Linked DNA regions of Drosophila melanogaster. Changing the gene in region 2 together with the main gene of any one other region gives a genetic interaction. Each region holds a gene or a part of one and is shown on either strand. Other genes may lie near its edges. The genes, in order: Pex19, Hnf4 and mdy.

The links.
Region 1: of Hnf4 (region 2) and Pex19, changing one suppresses a phenotype caused by changing the other (phenotypic suppression), as found in Drosophila melanogaster (one study listed by BioGRID).
Region 3: of Hnf4 (region 2) and mdy, changing one suppresses a phenotype caused by changing the other (phenotypic suppression), as found in Drosophila melanogaster (one study listed by BioGRID).

The regions. Positions count from the first base shown.
Region 1 is NT_033779.5:12,089,555-12,096,069, forward strand, and holds Pex19 (peroxin 19), read left to right. Parts: upstream 1-2,267; 5' UTR 2,268-2,572; exon of another isoform or gene 2,573-2,804; intron 2,805-4,133; 5' UTR 4,134-4,307; coding exon 4,308-4,356; intron 4,357-4,439; coding exon 4,440-4,557; intron 4,558-4,623; coding exon 4,624-4,927; intron 4,928-4,993; coding exon 4,994-5,157; intron 5,158-5,214; coding exon 5,215-5,458; 3' UTR 5,459-5,681; downstream 5,682-6,515. Other genes in the region: CG6712 (uncharacterized protein), read right to left, coding at 5,682-6,515.
Region 2 is NT_033779.5:8,686,753-8,693,728, forward strand, and holds Hnf4 (hepatocyte nuclear factor 4), read right to left. Parts: upstream 4,458-6,976; 5' UTR 4,443-4,457; coding exon 4,262-4,442; intron 3,501-4,261; coding exon 3,062-3,500; intron 2,874-3,061; coding exon 2,377-2,873; intron 2,307-2,376; coding exon 2,169-2,306; intron 2,106-2,168; coding exon 1,869-2,105; intron 1,797-1,868; coding exon 1,137-1,796; intron 1,073-1,136; coding exon 1,026-1,072; 3' UTR 501-1,025; downstream 1-500. Other genes in the region: Trs23 (TRAPP subunit 23), read left to right, coding at 1-282. UniProt on the Drosophila melanogaster protein: Transcriptionally controlled transcription factor. Important for the differentiation of various specialized cell types that arise from both endoderm and mesoderm. May have a role in early gut formation.
Region 3 is NT_033779.5:16,814,894-16,820,348, reverse strand, and holds the start of mdy (midway), read right to left. Parts: upstream 3,690-5,455; 5' UTR 3,310-3,689; intron 3,242-3,309; exon of another isoform or gene 2,890-3,241; intron 238-2,889; 5' UTR 227-237; coding exon 1-226. Other genes in the region: CG13272 (uncharacterized protein), read right to left, coding at 4,556-5,455.

The DNA.
Region 1 (6,515 bases), 3.4 Mb from region 2:
TCGAAAAAATGCTGCGGCTTAACGCAGCCCACGCCCACTCTACGACAAAAAGTGGGCGGAAAGCTGAGGGCCTTTCCCGATCTCCGGGCGATTAACCCTTGCTCTTGGTAGCAGTTTAGCCGGGCTAATTGAAGGCATTAGTTGTTTGTGGGTCGCGAGCTGGCTTCCCCGGAACTCCATTGTCCTTAAATTAGCATCTCTCATAGCATATATACCTTCGATCGCAATTGGTGGAAACTTCGCGCCTCTGCCCACAAACGTTTGGTTTTGGCACTCCAACCACATGACATTCGTCATGCACTCAGCGAAAATACTTAGCAAATGTTGTTCATGCAAAGAAATATTCATATTCTGTATAATTATTGCTTAAGAATATATATTTTTCAGTACCTAAATGTATAAGAATGAAGAAGCTATAAATTAAATAATAAATAGTTAGTTAGTTGAAAGGGATTATCTTCCTGTGTATTGGGACGTCACAGAGTCTGGCTGAATTTTCGCCGATCATGTAGGAAGTGTCCCAGGGGCAAAAAGGGGAGCCCCTGCCACATACACCCACTTTCGAGAAACTCATTAGCCTGGGGCACAACAAACCCGGCAACTCGGGGCACAAACAAACCAATCCCGAGCCCAATCGACTGCTAAACGCTGTCGGCACACATCTGAGAGACGGCGACGGAGGCCAACAAATTGATCATTAAACAGAAGGCGCAAATGTAGGCGCAACCCATCGTTGTCCAACAGAAGATCGTAGCATCGGAGCATCAGGTCGAGATCAAACACCTGGGCCCTCGACCTGGCGAAGAAAGTGACGAGGCTGCGACGTCAACAAGATTAATTTGTTTTCCGGCCGGGTTCCATCTCCATCCAGAGTCACAGAGCCACATCCACATCCATATTTCCCAACTCAGCCGGCAACCTGTTGTCCAGTTCCCCGATTTGTAATTGCCCTGCTTTGTGGTAGTCGATCAGGTTCGATCGCGGATCGATCATATACTCTACTATAATGGACAAACTCGATGGATGGCGAAAGAACATCATTAGTTTTCTCGGCGTAGAGTCCACAAAGTAGGTGGCGTTTTTCTCACATCCCGAGTGTTTCTATGGAATCTCGATTTGGAGATGTTGGATCTTCTCTTCGGCGGCGTTTGTCCATTAGCCACGGTTTGCATCGGATATATGCGAATTTAAATAAAATCATTCAATTGTTTCATTAATCACTGGCTACGGTCGGCGTTTTCTATTAAAAAAAATGCATTGCCAATGGAAAAATTGACTGCAGAGACCGTGATTATTTATACATTAGTGGGAAAGAATCTTCAGTTTTATGCGAAGAGCTTAAAAAGTTTCTCATGATGTCCTACTTAGAAGTGGTTTTATGTTTTAGCAATCTATAATTTCTATGAAACTTAATTGGGAGTAATTCCTAACCACTGTAATAAAAACTATTTGACCTGAGGAAGCCAAAAGCAGCTCTTGAGCCACCAAATCGATTGGGAAACATAAAACATATATGTGCTGCAGTTCACGATAAAAAAAAAGCAGGGCATGGCGAATTGGGAGGCTGCAACCGAAACGCACACTTAATTTCCGCTTAATCAAACAGAACAGCGACTGGGGGGGCACAGACAGAGCAACCCACATCATCTGGAGTCGGCTACCCTTCGACCCAATCCTCTAGAGGAAAACGTATGGCAGACGCAAGGGCTCATTTGCATGGCCACTTTGATGGAGAGCGATGGGTGTCGGAGCATGAAGAGCTCGCCCCATTGCGCAATGGTTGATGGTGGATGTTGTATGTTGGATGGTGGATGTGGGTGTCTTGTCTTTCGGGAAGCTGCCAGCAGTTGACTTCTCCAGTTCTTCTTTTCGGGGCAGGATTTCAAAGGAAAAGTGAGCGTTTTCCAGGAATGACTGGGAGCCTTGTAATCGCAATTACCATGGCCAAAATATCAAAAGATAATGCCATCCTGGCCAGACACAAAAATATGTCGAAACATATATAAATATCTTATATTTTGTGATACTTGAATGATTAATACAAGGTGTACTAAAGCTACAAGTTATTTTGAATGTAATGTAACATTCAGATTTCTAGAATCAGAGTTTAATTTAATTAGTATAATTTTTTTATTTTAAAGAACTTTTATTCCTTTTATATTACATATATATTACATATATTTAGTGTCTTAATTTATTTACTCCTTTATATATACTTATTATTTACACTTTATTACCATAGCCACACGACACCAGCCACAATATAAATAATGTGTCTATAAAGTCGCAATCATCGTCATTACCGAACAATCGCGAAATCCATTATATCCTGTTCAGTGCATCGTAAAATCGAGCATCTTTCGCTGGAAGGATGCGGAAATGTTGAAAAAAATAGCGATGCGATCAGCGAGCGTGAAATCGCAGTCAGCATATGAAAAGGATGTACAGGATCGTATCCTGGCAAAGTTCCTGCAAAAAGGAAGGGAAGTGTAGATGCTTGTGAAGACGCTGATGGGCATTTTATGACGGTTGGAATCCTTCCTCTTCTGGGGAAATAGAGCTGGAGATTCAGGTAAATTCAGCTAGTCTAGCAAACCGATTATATCGGAATAAACAACTTTATGACGCGCCTGTTGGTGCCTTAAAAATTATGTCAAAAAAGAGCGAGTTTCTTGGTTTATTGGGATCGGGTGTGAGTGTGACCCAAAAACCATTGTTTTGGCCAACGAAGGGGTTTTTACGTTTTCGACTTTTGTTTTGACTTTTTGACGGTTGTCTTGACTTTTTGAACTGAACTGCTTGGGTTCTAAGAAATTTGAAGTTGAACTATATACTCTGATGTTCGCAGCGAATAGAGAATGAAATTTTTCCCTAAAAAGAGAGTTATGGTTTTTAGGGAAATTTTTGATGTTATATGTATGCATATTCTGTAAATGGATTACAGCCCATAAAAAGTCAAATTACCCTGTTTCTGTAGGAAATGTAAGAGTTTCAGGCGGTTTGTTCCACCCTAAGCCGCAAAATAAAACACCAAATTATGCATTATTTCAGTCGAAGCTCCGCCCATGCTGACATTTTCAGAGAACCGACTGACCGAAGAAAACTCCGCCCCAATAGTGGAAATAGAGGAAAAAACACAAATTTACCACAATACTTCGCTGCGTGGGCGTACCGAATCGAAGATTCGTTTTGCTCTTCTGGTAAACCGTGCGGTTAAAGTCGCAAAGAGCACAGCCCATCCCAGCCCAGCCATTTGACCATATGAGCGGAATTGAGGAAACCAAGCGGGGTTCCTCCGCAGCGGTGACCTTCGGGCGGGAGTGGACCTAGAGCTGGACGCCCTACTGCAAAATCCATGTGTCCCGTCCATGGGTGTGACGTTCTGGTTTCGGAATTGGTCGCGCATCAGCGTCGCGCCGTGACCTTGATGGTTTTGCGACCCCTCCCTCACCACTCAGTATGTGCGGTTTGGGCTCTGGTCGCAGTTTGGTCGCCGATCTCCGTCCGCGCACAGCGAGGTGCCATTCCCGGGGAGATTGGCTGAGAGTTTCGCAGAAGATGCGTAAATATTTTGGGTGATTATTTTAGATAATCTTCGACTAATGTCCTTGGTTTGTCTCTCAAGACAGGAGGGATATTGAGGTGCTTCGAATTTAAGTTTATTAGTCTGATGTAGGCCTAGATTTAAATATGTACACTATTATATTGTAGATGGGTGTACTGATGACTTGTTGTTGTAAGACATATAATTTTCTAAATCAAAACTCGAAATTTTCATTGACAATAAATATATGTTATATGAATTAAATGGCTAGACATTTTCACACTTATGTGTAGTCCACAATAATAATGCATTCCAGATTATTTCGAAATAGGTATTCTGAACTTGTTTTGAACTTTATATAATAGTAACAAATAAGAATTCTTAATTTAAGGAATATATTTACTAAAAATTAAACAAAATATAGCTATTTTTCTTAAAAAAAACATTAAATGCATTTAAAAGTTGTTTAAGTAATATGAATTTTGTCTAAGCCCTAACCGAAACTGAAATCTTAAAATTAAAACCAACAATTATATAGAAAAGTTAATTTTTAAATTTTTTTCTTATCATTTCGCATCCTTTTAAAAAGCCGTTACGAATGCGGTCGCACTAAGATGTGAGTCAGTGTAGCCACACCTGTTCAGCTGACTGCGGTATGCACCAGCAGCAGATGAACGGTCCCACTGATTGATTCAGTCAGTCTTTATTTTTTACCATTTCCCACCCACCACGAAATCAAGGAAAAGCATCCCGAAATTGCACAATGTCCGAAGAAAAGAAGAATGGCGATGAATTAAACGACTTGCTGGACAGTGAGTACAGCCCGGAAATGCCTTTGGCGATCCCTTCTCGACCCCTTACATAATGCGCACTGCGTCGTCCACTTTTCGCACAGGTGCTCTCCAGGATTTCGATAAAAGTGGTGCCGGTGACCAAAAGGAGCCGTCCGCATCATCGGATGTGGCGACCAACGCTGGACCTGAGGGCTCCGAGGATCCAGATGCGTTTTTCATGTGAGTCAATGCGCCAGTGCAACGCGGCACTTGAACTTTGTATTCTGACCTGTTATCCGCCTTCAGTGAGCAGGCCAAGGTGCTGGCCGATCGCATGAACACGCTCTTCGGAGGTCCGGACACGCCCAGTGGCGATATTCCGCCGCTGCCCCAGGATCCCGACCAGATCATGGCCGGTTTCAAAAAGATGGCCGAAGCGGCAGCGCTCACCTTGAGCGGCGAAAATTCGGCCACCGACGAGGATGTCTCCAAGTATTCTGATAGCATTTCCCAGGCTCTCAAGGGTCTGCAAGAGGGCTCCGAGAACCTGGCTGCTCCCGCCTCGGAGAACGACATAGCCAGCATGTTTGGTTCACTGAATCTTGAAGGGGTATGCATCCTGAAAATGAAATATGAATTCTCCTTGCTCAATCATTAAACAATCCCCGTTTGACAGGCTGGCGAGGGTGATGGAAACATGTTCCTACCATTCATGGAGGGCATGATGCAGAGCCTGCTCTCGGCGGAGATTCTGTTGCCCAGCATCCGGGAGCTGCTGGAGAAGTACCCCAAGTACCTCGAGGAGAACGACGCCAAGCTCTCCGCTGAGGACAAGGAAAGGTATGCTCGAAATCAACTCGCAATAAGATACTTTTATTGAGAAACCAATACATACAGGTACCAGAAGCAGATGGAGCTGTACAAGGTGATTGAGGGGCATTTACAGAGCGAGAAGACCGAGGATTCGGCCGCCGTGAAGCGAGAGAAGTTCCGCGTCGTGCTGGACGACATGCGCAAACTGCAAGACTACGGCCAGCCGCCGCCAGAGATTCTGGCCGAGACGGGCGGCGACTTGCCCTTCGGCGATCCCACTGCCGGCGTAGCAGCCGGCGGTCCCGGTCCCCAGTGCCCAACCATGTAGTGGCTGACGGAGCACGATAGTCTCGTGGTGTGCCAATTGGTTAACTGTTGAGTGTTGCACATTTTTTAGGCTAAGGCAAATTTGTATTTTATTTTATCACCGACAAAACAATACGGCGGTCGCTAATGGTTATCACCTCTCTCTTCAATCAAGCTATTATTTTCGTATTAACTGTTGGTTTATTAAGTAGTTCTATACCTAAATACAATGCCTCGAAATACACCTAGAGGAAGAAGCGACGTCGCGACTCCATGGCGTGCCGTTTGTTGCTGATTATCCAGGCATAGTCACCGGTCTTGCTGTCGAATGTGCCCTCCTGCAGGGAACGTAGTTTCAGGGTGAACCGCGGCCCCAGTTCGCGCAGCTTTACGCGTTTTCCCTCTTTGGTGAACTCGTAGCGGTGGTGACGGAAGAATATGTAATCTCGCTGATTGTGGAACGTCACCGCTCGGCGGCCGCGGAACTCGGGATCGTGATGGAAGAGGGCACCCAGCATGCGGCCCACGGTCAGACCCAAACGTGTGGTAAAATTGTTCAGGATCACTTCGGGCCTGTGCTTGGTTATCTCCTTGTGATCGCGCTTTATGTCCGAGGTGAGCTTCACGTTGGACAGCTTGAAGTGGGCAGTGGGACCATTGGGCAGATGAATGACCAGCAGCCCATTGGGCTTTCTGCGATCTTCGTTAACGATCACGACGTCTGTGAACTCCTCGCGCTCGGCGCTTTTGCATATCTTCTTCACCGACGACTTGTTGCGAATCTTAACCAGGGCGTTGGGGAATATGCGCGAAAGCTCCAGTCCAAACTTACGCGTCTTGGTCACCGGATTGTCAGCAAAAGTGATCAGCACCTTTGGCTCGTACGAACGTTCGAAGTACGAGCTGAAATCGTCCAGTTGGAGTTCCTTTTGCAACTCCTCGTTGTCGGAATCGTTCAGATTGGCCACCTCTGTTTGGTCCTTCTCTCGCAGGCTCTCTATGGTGTGACCAGGATTGGCGGGTACACCAGCCTTCCGTCGGGCACGGCGCTCCTGCATTTTTTTCTTGTGCTTCTCCTT
Region 2 (6,976 bases):
CCGGAGCCCAAGAGTTCCGGCATCGAGATCCTAGAGGCGGACACTTTCACGCTGCACTGCTTCCAAACGCTGACCGGAATCAAGTTCATTATAATCTCGGAAACGGGTCTCAATGGCATTGATCTGCTGCTGCGAAAGGTTTACGAGCTGTACTCAGACTACGTGCTCAAGAACCCCTTCTACTCCCTGGAGATGCCCATTCGATGCGAGCTCTTCGACAACAAGCTCCAAGAGCTCCTCGCCCAGGTCGAGAAGACGGGCATTAGCAATATCGATAAATAAACGTTAGTTAGTCTTTGTAATACGTTATTGAATTTTTTCTATGCAGGATCAGGGTTACGTTCTAAGTGGGAGCATAGGAACATATATCGCTTTATCAGTTTGGATATTTAAAGTTGTTGCTGAAAGAGATGGCATAAATTATAAATTATAGTAATATTTATTACTAGTAAAAATGCCGCAGTAAACGATTTACATTCATATTCTCCAGTGTTTATTTTGATTTTGTTTATTCATTCAGCCATCTTAGAAATAGTTTGTATATTATACATATTCATATAAAAATAGTTCTTTGTTTAAAATTAAATATATATTACACTTTCAGCATAATCTAGACAACACCCTAACCTAAAACAATATATTGCATGGCCTTATATGAATGTTTTGTGATCCACGCACAAGTATAAGATAACCAAATAACCAACAAACTCAGTACATGCTAAATGGTGTATATATATAGTATAATTGTATATAATAAACTTCTTGAGCAAAATATGACTCCAAAAATATATTGCAACTGCGTTAAACATTAAAAATTAAGCAACAATTTCCAAAATACCTACTTAGGACTAATAAAAAGTATCAAAATGGTTCAAGGCATAACAATTAAGTAAGTTCTTCATTTCAATTTCATCTCTATATAGCACTTGGTGGGGAGTACAGCAAGAGAGGGCCTGTATGTGTATGGGTTGTGTGCTTAAGGGGTGTCCTATTGCAAACTGCATATTGCACCGTTCGTTATTCTTCTAGTAACCAGTCTCTGGCTCCTGTTTAAGTGTCATGCGACAGGGTTCTGAAATAGTATATAAAATATATTATTGAAATGTCTTCTTGCTTCGAATCAATCTACTACGCACCCGTTCCATAACCAGCGGGTGCGGTTAGCATCTCGGGAGCCCGGATCTTCAGTGGAGTTCGTCGCAGCAGCTCCTCGGCACTGCTACCCTCGCTCCGGTTGTACTCGTTGAGCGTAATATCGGCAGGATTGCGCAGACCCAATCCGCCGCCCCCGCTGGACACTTCGACCGGCGAGGCGACTGCTCTTTGGTAGGGATGCATCCTCTGGGGACTGTGCTGTGTTGGCAGCGGTCCGGACCGACTGCCATTGTAGTGCTTGACGGGCATGTCCAAGTAGGAGCTCTCCTGTTGTTGCTGATGCGTCGCATGTTGCTGATGTTGATGTTGTGACTTGGGGCTGTTGAGCGGAGGAGAGATCGAGGCTGGAGCAACGGATGCGGGTGCAGAGGAGGAGGACGAGACGGCTGCAGCGGCTGCCGCTGCAGTGCTGGCCGCGTAGGCCCGGAAGGAATCATCCGCACTGTTCGCCTCGATAAGAGCCTGAATGTGCTGCACCTCCAGGTCCAGACTATGCGAGCCAGGACCACCGGACGTGGCCAGCGAGTCCAGAGAGGAGTTAACTTGATTACCGCCCTCCATGTTGCCTGTGTGGGTGGGACTCTGGTAGTCATTTGACTGATTGGGCGGCGATAGCGGCAGAGGATTGTCGGCCAACTCTCCTATTAACACACACACAAAAATTAAATTAATAAATTGTTCCAAACGTATATTTGCAACATTTAAATACTGACCTCCCAACAACATTTCCTGCAGTAATGAATCAATGTGGGCCACTCCAAAGATCTTGGCAAACTGGATCTGCTCGATCATCTGCCAGGTAATAGACTGCAGAACCGGCAGGATGAGCAGAATCTCGCCAAAGCGACCGCGCGACTCGTATTGCCGATCTGATATGTAGTCCTCGAGATTATTGAGTATCTGATGCCGTAGCGATTTGATGCGATGCGGTTCATTAAGACCCTTGGCATCTAAAGTTATTTGAAGAACCAATTATTAAACGGTCACTTTTGTAAATAAGTTAAATAACTCACTGGGATCGAAGAAGACTAGGGCCTTGATGCAAGCGAATTCAGTGTCATCGATACCCACATCCTTCATGACCGTCACCAGTTCATCGATGATACGGGCGCCGATCCGGGAGATGTCCAAATTCGGCGACACAAGGGGATCTGGAAAAAGAATGATTGCAAAGGTTATACCAATTTCACTTATAGGTTTTGATAGTATCAAAAACATTACCTGGACAGTGCCTTGTGATCACACAATTGTTGCTCAGCAGGAGAACATCCTTCAAGTGCATCGAACGACGAGACAGGCCGAGGAGCAAATGCTCGCCAGCATGGGCGCGTAGCAGTGCCACCTGGTCATCCAGCTGCAGCTCGTTAAAGGCCGGAATCTGCTTAGCCCATTCCACCAGGGTCAGCAGCTGCTGCTTCATCGACTCGCAGACATCGTTGATGCTCGCGAACTGCTTGTTGGAGAGGTCCTCGTTAATGTTTGGCTCCATGGCAGCGCCTGCCTTCGACTGACGCGACTCATTCTCCGCCTTAACCAAGGAAATCACAGACAGCCCATTGCCCGGATCCGGGTCGTCATTGGAGGTGCGGCGGCAGCTAATGCGATCCCGCTCGTTTTGCACCGCCTCCTTCTTCATGCCCGCCTTGAAGCACTTCCTCAGCCGGCAGTAGCGGCACTGATTCCGTTTGTCCTTGTCCACAACGCAGTTTCGCGCAAATCTGCCAAGAGAAGTTTAAGTTGAGTAACGAATGCGTATAGATAGTCGTAAACTTAGAATTTTCCGCCAGGTCCCGACACGTCCCACCAGGGTTATCGTTATGAATTATACAAATTATTTCTGACTGGAAATTTGGCATTGGGAAAATCTTAATCTCCCTACTAGTCCCGTATAAGGACATATGTGTACCTGCAAGTGTACTGATGATTTTTCCTGACACTCCTCCTGAAGAATCCTTTGCAGCCGTCGCAGCTGGAGGCTCCATAATGTTTGCCCGTCGCCCGATCTCCACAAATGGCGCAGACCGTCGGTGATTGCTGTTGTTGTTGCTGCTGCAATTGCTGCTGACTGCTGTTAGTCCCACTTCCGCTTCCGCTCAAGTTGTTGTTGGGTGAGAACATGCTGTTGTTGTTGTTGCTGCCACTGCTGGCACTTCCGCCTCCTGCGCTGCCCGCATTTCCGTTTCCGTTGCAGAGCGCAAAGTTCTCGCTGCTCTGGTTGCTACTGTTGCTCAGTCCCAGCCCACCGCCATTGGGGCTGAGGGCGAGGCCGATCGGACTGTGGGGCTGCGAGGCAGCCGGATAGGCAGAGGCCAGGGCATCCGCGTGCATTATGTGGCTCTCCGATTCTGCAACGAAAAGCAGGTAAAAGTGTTATTCATAAGATGAGTTGTATGAACAAAATCTTCATTAGAAAAACGTACATATATTCCTGACACAGTCTTAAATGTTACGAGGGCGGCCTTAAACTTTAATATATGTACAGTAAATAAGTGAGCAATATAAACTGTTGAAATACTTCTTAAAGTCATAACCCCACCAGCCCAGTCGAACTAGTTCTACTTCTTTAAAATGGAAAATATTCTAATCTTCAAATGTAAATCGCTTTGTTGTAAAAAGTGTTCCGTCATGGTGAGATCCACAGTTTTGAAGCTGCGGGTGCTGGGCGCACGCACAGTTTTAGAATTTGATCATGCCTACGCAAATTCCTCGCTAAGGTTTTGCAGCAACTGGATATGCCATTTTAAATCCACGGACAATCTTTGCAATCAAAGAGCAATTAAAAACATACACAGTCCGAAATTTCTGCACAGAGTCTAATAGAGAAATAATTTTCTTTATCATATATAATATGAAGTCGATACTAAATAATGTGTATGTGTTCCTTTAAGACTACTATTTTTTCATAAAAAGGTATATATGTACCAATAAAAATTATTTACTGGTATTTTTGTTAGTTTTTCTTTTATTTCGATCGCAGCTGTATAACGTACGATACACAGTGGTCATAGAGTTGGGATTGTGTGAAAACCAGCGAAAAATCGCGCAATAGCAACAAACAGAAACTGCACAAATAACAACAATATTAAAAATAAAAGCAACAACTGACCGTCACTGGATGCAGTTCGGCTGGCGCTGCTGTCGCGCCTGCGTCGACGTCGCCCCGCCTCTGCCTCCTCTGCCGCTGCAACTGCCACCCGCCCACCGCCCACTTTGCCACGCAGCAGAATGTTGCCAACGGCAACGCGATCGCGACTAGAAATCTTAACTCTACCGGACTTGCGCACCATTTTAATGCAACTGATTAATGAAAAAACACACGACTCGAAATTTTTCAGTCGCGGTATCGTATGTTGTTTCTTGGCACCTCTCCTGCTCTCTCTGCGCCACCGCACAGTGGTCTGATTTCAGAAAATTCTACGTTAATAAATATTACTCTCTTTCTATGAAAACAAATAAAAGCTGTTTAATAATGTTCCATAATGCTTTATGTAAGCTTTTTGACATGGATATGAAAATAATATTATTACAAAAAAATACTTTTTAATAAACGAATAAATAATGAATTTCCCCTCTAAATCTTATTAACATTTCTGTTTTGGAAGTTTTATATTCTAACATAGTTGGTTAGGTATTCTGAAGTGCGATCATATCAATATATCACCACGTCACCACGCGTTCTGAAGTTTCTAAATTTAGTTTTAAAAAGCTCGAATTCCCACCGTGCGTTTTGAGTGTGTGCGTTAATCGACGCTTAAATCAATTCAACTGTGTTTGCATATGTCGACCCCTCTCTTTCTTTCCCGCAGAGAGGGAGCGAGACCCCAAAACCAGACTTGGGGCTCTCACCAACACAGAGGCACGCAGCCGCAGAGATAGAAATTCATTTAATGGACAGAAGCAGAAGCAAGAGCAAAAGCAACAACAACAACATCAACGACAACGACATCGGCCAAACGAATAAACAAATAAATAAATAAAATGTGTACAAAAAAGCCGGCTTTAATTTGGACATCGTTATGAGAGACTGTTTGCGTGTGTGAGAAAATCATTTGGGGAGACGGAGAAAGAGAGAAAATAGAAATACTAGTAAAGCGGAAAATAGGCATCGACGGAAAATAGTAGTTACTTTTAATAAACAACAATAAAAGTGCTCGTACAGTCGATTTTAAGGAATACTTGTTTTTGAAAATTGAATAGAATGGAATTATTTAAAATAATTATTTAAAAAAATATTCTTTCAATTACCATTTTAATAGGTGTATAAATACTGTTATTATCTCGAAGCGTTCGCAGTGGGTGGTTCCCACAGATTTTCCACTATTTGCCTTATTAGTTTTCATATGCAGGGAATTCTCTAAAAGGTAATTGATTGGCAAACATTTACAATTTGAATAGACTTTTCATGATTGCACTCCAAACAGCAAATTGTTCACTTTGTTTACAGATTCTCAGACAGTTAATCACGGTACACCGACAATTCCGATATTATACACCTGAAACATATCCTCACCGCTTGAAAATCCAACTCGAAATAAGAGCAGTTGCTCGACCAAGAGAAGTTTAAGTAAAAAATACAACTGCCAAAAGTTCTTATCTCTCTGTTTATGGGTGTGCATTTGTTGTTTTCTTACACTTAATGTTGTTGTTCTACCAGTTGGAGAGGAAAAAGCAAACATACACTGAAACAGCAACGAATAAAAAAGGTAAATAAGAAACCATAATACTCGTTTGCTAACATTTCGCGCATAAAACTGTCTCGCCCCACACTCGCCATCTCTCTCGCCCACCGCAGCCGTTTCGCTCGCACACTCCGCGGGAGGGGGAAACAGGCTGCGGTGTAATTTTTATATTTTTAGCCAAGTCATCGTTAGAGTTCACTTTTTTTCCGACCGCGTCATCGTTAGTATTGCAAAAAAATTTTGATGCCTCACACTGAGGTGGGCAAATCGTAATCTGAGATTAGAAAATATCGGATTCTTGATTCGGAAAATAGTATTATTTGGATGATGCGCTGATAAAATGAAAGAGCCGAAAACAGCAATCAATAACATACATATGTACATACATACAGGGATTTCACGTTTCTCGTGAAAACAAACAAATGTGAACACCTGACCATCATATAAAAGCAAAGCAGAACTTTTATCTATAAATACTCATATGTGTTCTCTAAAAATTTATTTAATTAATATGCCGAACGCAATACTCGTAACAGGCAGACGACGAGCCTCCAAAAAGTATAAATAAATGGATCTGGAGAGCGGTTCCAAAATAAGAGAATCAATTATTCGCGCCACGATGATAATTTTCGTATTGACCGATACATCGGTGCTGTAGCGATCTCTCCTTCTCTCACCATTGTGTTTTACTTATTTATGTTTTTATTTATTTATTCTTAAAATAATAGGAATGTCTGCTTAAATATATGACTATTGGAAAATTTATTTTTTTAAGTTGGATTTTTGACCACAATGTTTCGCAGGCATGTGTGAGTTATATATGTACATCATATATATTCATATTCATATGATTCGTCTGCCAAACACAAGTTCGGTGGGAACTTTGCTCGAACTACGCAAAACTTGTATTTATTTTTGGACACCATGTTGTTGTTTACCAAGCATATATTAGAAATATATTAGGTTCTTTTTGAAAAATTTCTTTATATAAGCTTGAGCGATGGAAGTGAAAATATATTTGGAATACCACTTATAAAAAACGCTTGTTTGTTAATTGAATTTAATTTATCTTTTTTTTTAAACAATGCATTGACAGACGTGTTCACGTTTATTTCCGGAGGCCTTTGTATGAATTGCATTGC
Region 3 (5,455 bases), 8.1 Mb from region 2:
CCTTATCCAAAACTTTACGATACTGTCGCAGATCTATGGGATTCCCGTGCTGATCGAATAGATTTTGTGTTGACTTGCGGTTTCGCAGACTGCTAAGATTATGCTCTGTGGCGGACGCCGATCTTCTCAAGCGCTTCATGATACCCACACCGCTGGATCCGCTATTCTTGGTCGGTTGTTCTGCTTTCCCGGGCTCCTTATCTTGGGGATCCTTATTGGTGGTCATGGTGATGGTCTCTATATTGAAAGAATTTCAATTTATAGTGATTACTTCTAGCTTATCGCAAATTCCGTTTGCAGTTGAAATGCAAAGATAAGATTTGTTTTGGTACCCCTTATAAAATGTTTGAGTGCTTTTATTTTGACACACAAATAACTCAGATGGGATCCCAGGAGGTTGTAAACAGTGGAGGCATTTTCAGAGTCGCTTATCTATTGAATAAATACGCAACTGAGATAAGAAATAATGAGGGTAATTAAGTAATAAGATGTCTTAAGCACATATCTTGTTTTTTATTTATGAAAATCGTTTTATTACTTGCTGAAGCTGGTCATATATTAGTTTATTAGTAAACAGAGCTATATGTATGTTAGAGAATAAATAGATCCATACAAAACCAGAAGCAAAATGCGGCTTGAGGTCAAAGTTCAGCTGACTGAGAGATTGCTGATTGAGTAATCAGATACCGATTTGCATAGACATTGAGCCCGCATTTGATAATGTGGTTAAGCCAACAGCTTCTCACTTAAATCGTTTAAAACCAGTTGTAAAGCTGCTACGATCGTACTTGACATTAGCTCCCACAGTCAAGATCGCATGTCAACCAAATGGGAGGGCATTATCGCCGTTAAGCCTCAAAGTTTCAAATCCACATCCACCTTTTGCAATGAAAATTGTATAGAACTCAAGAATCATCAACAAATAAACGGTTGATATGTGCAGATTCTATTTTTGAATACAAATGCGATTCAAGTTATAGATTTGCGTTCACGTAACTTGTTTTTGTTAAACAACGAGTAGCAAGATACGATTAGGAAATTGTTGTCTCAGCAATTATTTAATATTTATAAATCAGTGAAATACCTACATATATGTATGCAACTAAAATTAATGACGAAATTTGTGTGTGTTATCTGTTGAAAAGATATCTTAGGTAACAAAATCTACGTCATGTTACGAAGGCAACCATTTTTACCTAATTGTTTTATGCGAGTAGTTTGTTGATACCTTGTTTATTTGACATCAAAGTTCGATCACTATCGCTGCTTATCGCTAATGAACCGAAAAATCAATTTAAGTGATCGTGGATGCCAACCTTTTCAGTAATGGCTTTTGAAAGTTGTAATGTATACGATTCGAGTTCAGGATTGAAATAATTTATGGTTTTGAAAAAAGGACAGATGAAGAATTTTAGCAATTTTTGTCTCGCAGCGTGTATTTAGTATTCCACTGGCGGAAAACACAAAGTTTTACATAATTATTCAGTGCGTTGAACTGATCCAAGTGCAACAAAGACATATACTCCAATCTCATATGTTCGTTCATGGGGAGTTCAGTACGATTTCAGTCGAGTCACCGTGACGCAACGTCATTCAGAACTTCAAGTCGGAGCTCGTTATGGCCCATCAACCGAATGATGAGTAATTTACAGGCATCGAGGACCGAGGCAGTCCGAGATGTACATGAAGCATTCAAAGAGAGATTGCATTATATGCACCCATTAATATACATATTATAAATCCGTGCAAATAAGTTAATCAGGATAGAACTGTAGAGATATTTTGAAGTGCAAGGTAAAAGAAGAAAGCAAAGTCGACTCATTGTGGGTTCTTATTAAAAATGTATATTTCAACGTCTAGCTTCATTTGAGTTATATATTTATAAATGCGCTACAATTGTGACCTCTGCTGTTTGAATAGATATGTAAGAACACACATATACAACCCGCATGTGGAAACCGAACCTGAATTGAATGCTCTCTGCGGTTTGACGATTAGTTTGTTGAACTTTCGGTTTATATTTAAACAATCGAAGGTGGGGGCGGTACAGCGGTAACTGCAGCAGAATGATAATGGATCTTGGAAAAGTTTCGTCTATTTATTGAGCACTGTTGATCTTTATTTTGTGCTCTGCCCTAGGGCGAACTTAAAATGGTGAAAATATTCCAAACATTTTAGTTGTCCATGTAGGACGGATAATTACTGTCGGAACCGGTTGCGGCTTTATAAGGAAGAACTTTCCATAGCGATGATAAAAGTAGGTCAGTAACTCAAGTAGATTCATCAACTTGAGTGGCGAACGCCGCCCAATGGAACATCGATTGATAAAGGTTATCAAGCTGCTCAAGCTGCGGTTCATAAACTCGGAGATTGCATAATACCCACGTTATCATGTTGCCAGGGTAGACATGTCTGGCTGGGCCACCCTAATCACAATTTTCTTGCCCCTTACCATGTAAAACGGATGCATACCAGCTAGAGTCGAAATTCTATGAGGCGTTTTTGCTGGAATCAATCTAACTTTGGAGAATGAAATATTTATAATTGATTTCAAACATAAACCGCATTTTTAAAGACACCATGTTAAGTTTAATGTAATGTGAAGTTAACCATGACAAGCTTCACTGTAGCCTACAAATTATCGAGAGGAAAAATACACAAAAATTTCGCCGGCTTCCTCTAATCAGAATGAAACAACAATGCTCTTATCAGCCGGATTCTGACATTTGCCGTGCCACTGATAATTTCTAAGTGGAATGGAATTTGTTTTCCCAACCAGACACAAGCTCTCTCTTTTGCTGGGTCATTTTATCTCCGGTCAGAAGTGCTCTCTGTTTGGGTTTTCAGCATAAACCGGTTTTTTGGCATAGAAGTTTGTTTGGTTTTTACTGTTTGGCTTTTTCTGTTTGATGGAGACGACGCCGCCACATTTCGGAAATGTTTTTTTTTTTGTTTTTTTTTTTTTAGTTTGCGACGCAATGCCCGGATCAAGGTTATACAGCCATTGGTCAAATATATGCACACGCATTCACACATTTAGTTATATAGACATTATCAACGCTCATTCAATTCAAGGGAAGGCGGAGATAGTTTCACTAATTTATGATGGCTATATGGTATGCAAAAATAAAGCCTCCGTATTCGTCTATATACGATTTGTTGTTAGGTATATCTTGTTTTTTATCTGCTTAGCTGCTGTTCTCATAAAATTTAGCCGCTTTAATGGGCTTTGAGTCACCAAATCACACTGCACGTGTTTGCCACTTGTTGTTTTTGTTTTCTTTTCAGTGGGTGCCAGAAACACATTACCGATTGGAACAACTGCACTTGCAGATCTTCTTCTTATTCGCTCAAGTTCATTACTCCGCCATCGAAAACTTCAAACAAAAGCGAGAGTTAGACAGAGAACGAAGATCGCCGAAGAAGCGTAAACAAACACACAAAAAAATATCACACTGATCGTTTAATTTTTTACTTGAACTCTGGGAACTTTGTGTGCCTTGTATTGTTTGTACCTAGTTAATAATATATTATTTGTCTACTCAGTTTAGCACACCTTGCACACAATTTAATCCAATTGGCAAGTTTTTGTTGTTTCTTTCAACAAGAGCAGACTTATTTTCACGTACTGGAAGCGGCCTCTTTTTACCGTAAACCGCACGCTTCAACGACGAGTTCTCAACTGACGCTTGGAAAATACAACTGGAAATAAACAAAGCAATAGGCTCGACATCAGTGATGTCCGGAGTTGAGCGGGAAAATGATTTTTTCACGATTTTTTCATGATAAAACAGTAAGAGCTACAATCGTCAATAGTTTTCATCCTAAAGACAGTAATAAGTAATAATATTGTATTAATGAATACTCAGAAACAATTTGAATTTTGCTTACATATTTTCCGCTAACATGTCAGCACTGTCTGATAAACTTTGGCTATCGGTATCGAACAGTGAACGATCGATATTTACTGGAAGGAAATTTGGCGGTACATTTGAAACGCAAAATTATTATTATTCATAGAAAAGAAAAACGACTGTGTTATTCATTAATGTATAATTATTTCCAGTGAGCATTAAGGGTATAGACATACTTTTCAATGAGATAATATGTTTGGATTATCCATCAGTATTTTAACTTACCCCTTTTTTAATATTTGTGTAGAAAGACAAAGACTCTCTAGTGCAGGTCCCGCTTGTCGCGCACAAGGTGGCGCAATCGACTGATCTCCCCAATAGATGGCTCTATTGTATTTTATTTTCGTATATCGTATATCGTATTTCGTTTTGGTTTTTTTTTTATTTTCACACTTAACAACTAAAAAACGTAGAAAAATTTCAATAATTTAATGCTTAATTACACAACGAAAACTCTTTGCTCGAATTACATTGGGTATAGAACGCAGTCACATTGTGACGCCAGCAGGGCCTAACAACTAACAACAAATAAATACAGATTCAATTAAAGCTGACTTATGTACAAGAACGTATTAGGCGTGAGAAAAAGTTTCTGATAGATTTGGTATAGAGCGCAGTTCAAGAAAAATGCTTGTTTTGGGCTAATGCTGCTGTCGCCTCTCGTCGATCTCGTCCTCCTCCAGACCCTCGATAAGATCCTCCAAGTCGTCTTCCCCATCATCCACATCATCCACAAATTGATCGATTCGTTTGAGTAAATTGTTTGGCTCTTCAGCCTCCTCCTCCTCCTCCTCATCCTCATCATTTTCAGTAACCGTTTCATTATCATCCTCAATGCCCTCCTCCTCATCTTCATCATTGTATTCCATAATATCATCACTGGTGGTGACCCCGTCTTTAATCCGTGACTCAGGCAATTGATCATAGTCAAATACCTGACGTGTTGCCCGAGGTGGTGTTTCAGTGGAAATCGTTGACCCCAGACCTTCGCCAGCTTCGTCATCTTCATGGGTGTCATCTTTAAGGAGACTCTCTATGCCCGCCCCTTTACTGGATATCCTAGGTTCCGGTTGCTGCGGCAACAACTTGGTGCTAACTGGCCTCAGCACAGTGCTGGTAGTAGAACTTGCTACCAAAGGTAAATCAGTGGATGAGCCCATCTTTTGGGCATCGGCAAACATATTGTCCAGTAGACTAAGCAGATCGTTTACACCGCTTGGCTTTTCTGGAGTGGGTTGTGGTGGAATTAAAGGGGTGGTGCTGATTATGGGCACTTTAGTGGTTGTTGAAGTTGTGGTTTTCGTAGCGGTGGCAACGGTTGTAGTGCTAGTGCTTACTACTGGAGCCTTAGTGGTGGTGCTATATATAGGAGTTTTTTCAGGCGCCCTTGTCGTCGTAGGTTTCATGGTAGTGGGCTTATTAGTCGTGGTTGTCGTTGTCATTGGTGTTGTTTTGGTGTGCAAATGTTTTACCTGATAGGACTCCACAGTTCCCCTCTTCTCATTAGGATCGGCTATCCTAACTACTGGTTCCCTCTTGGA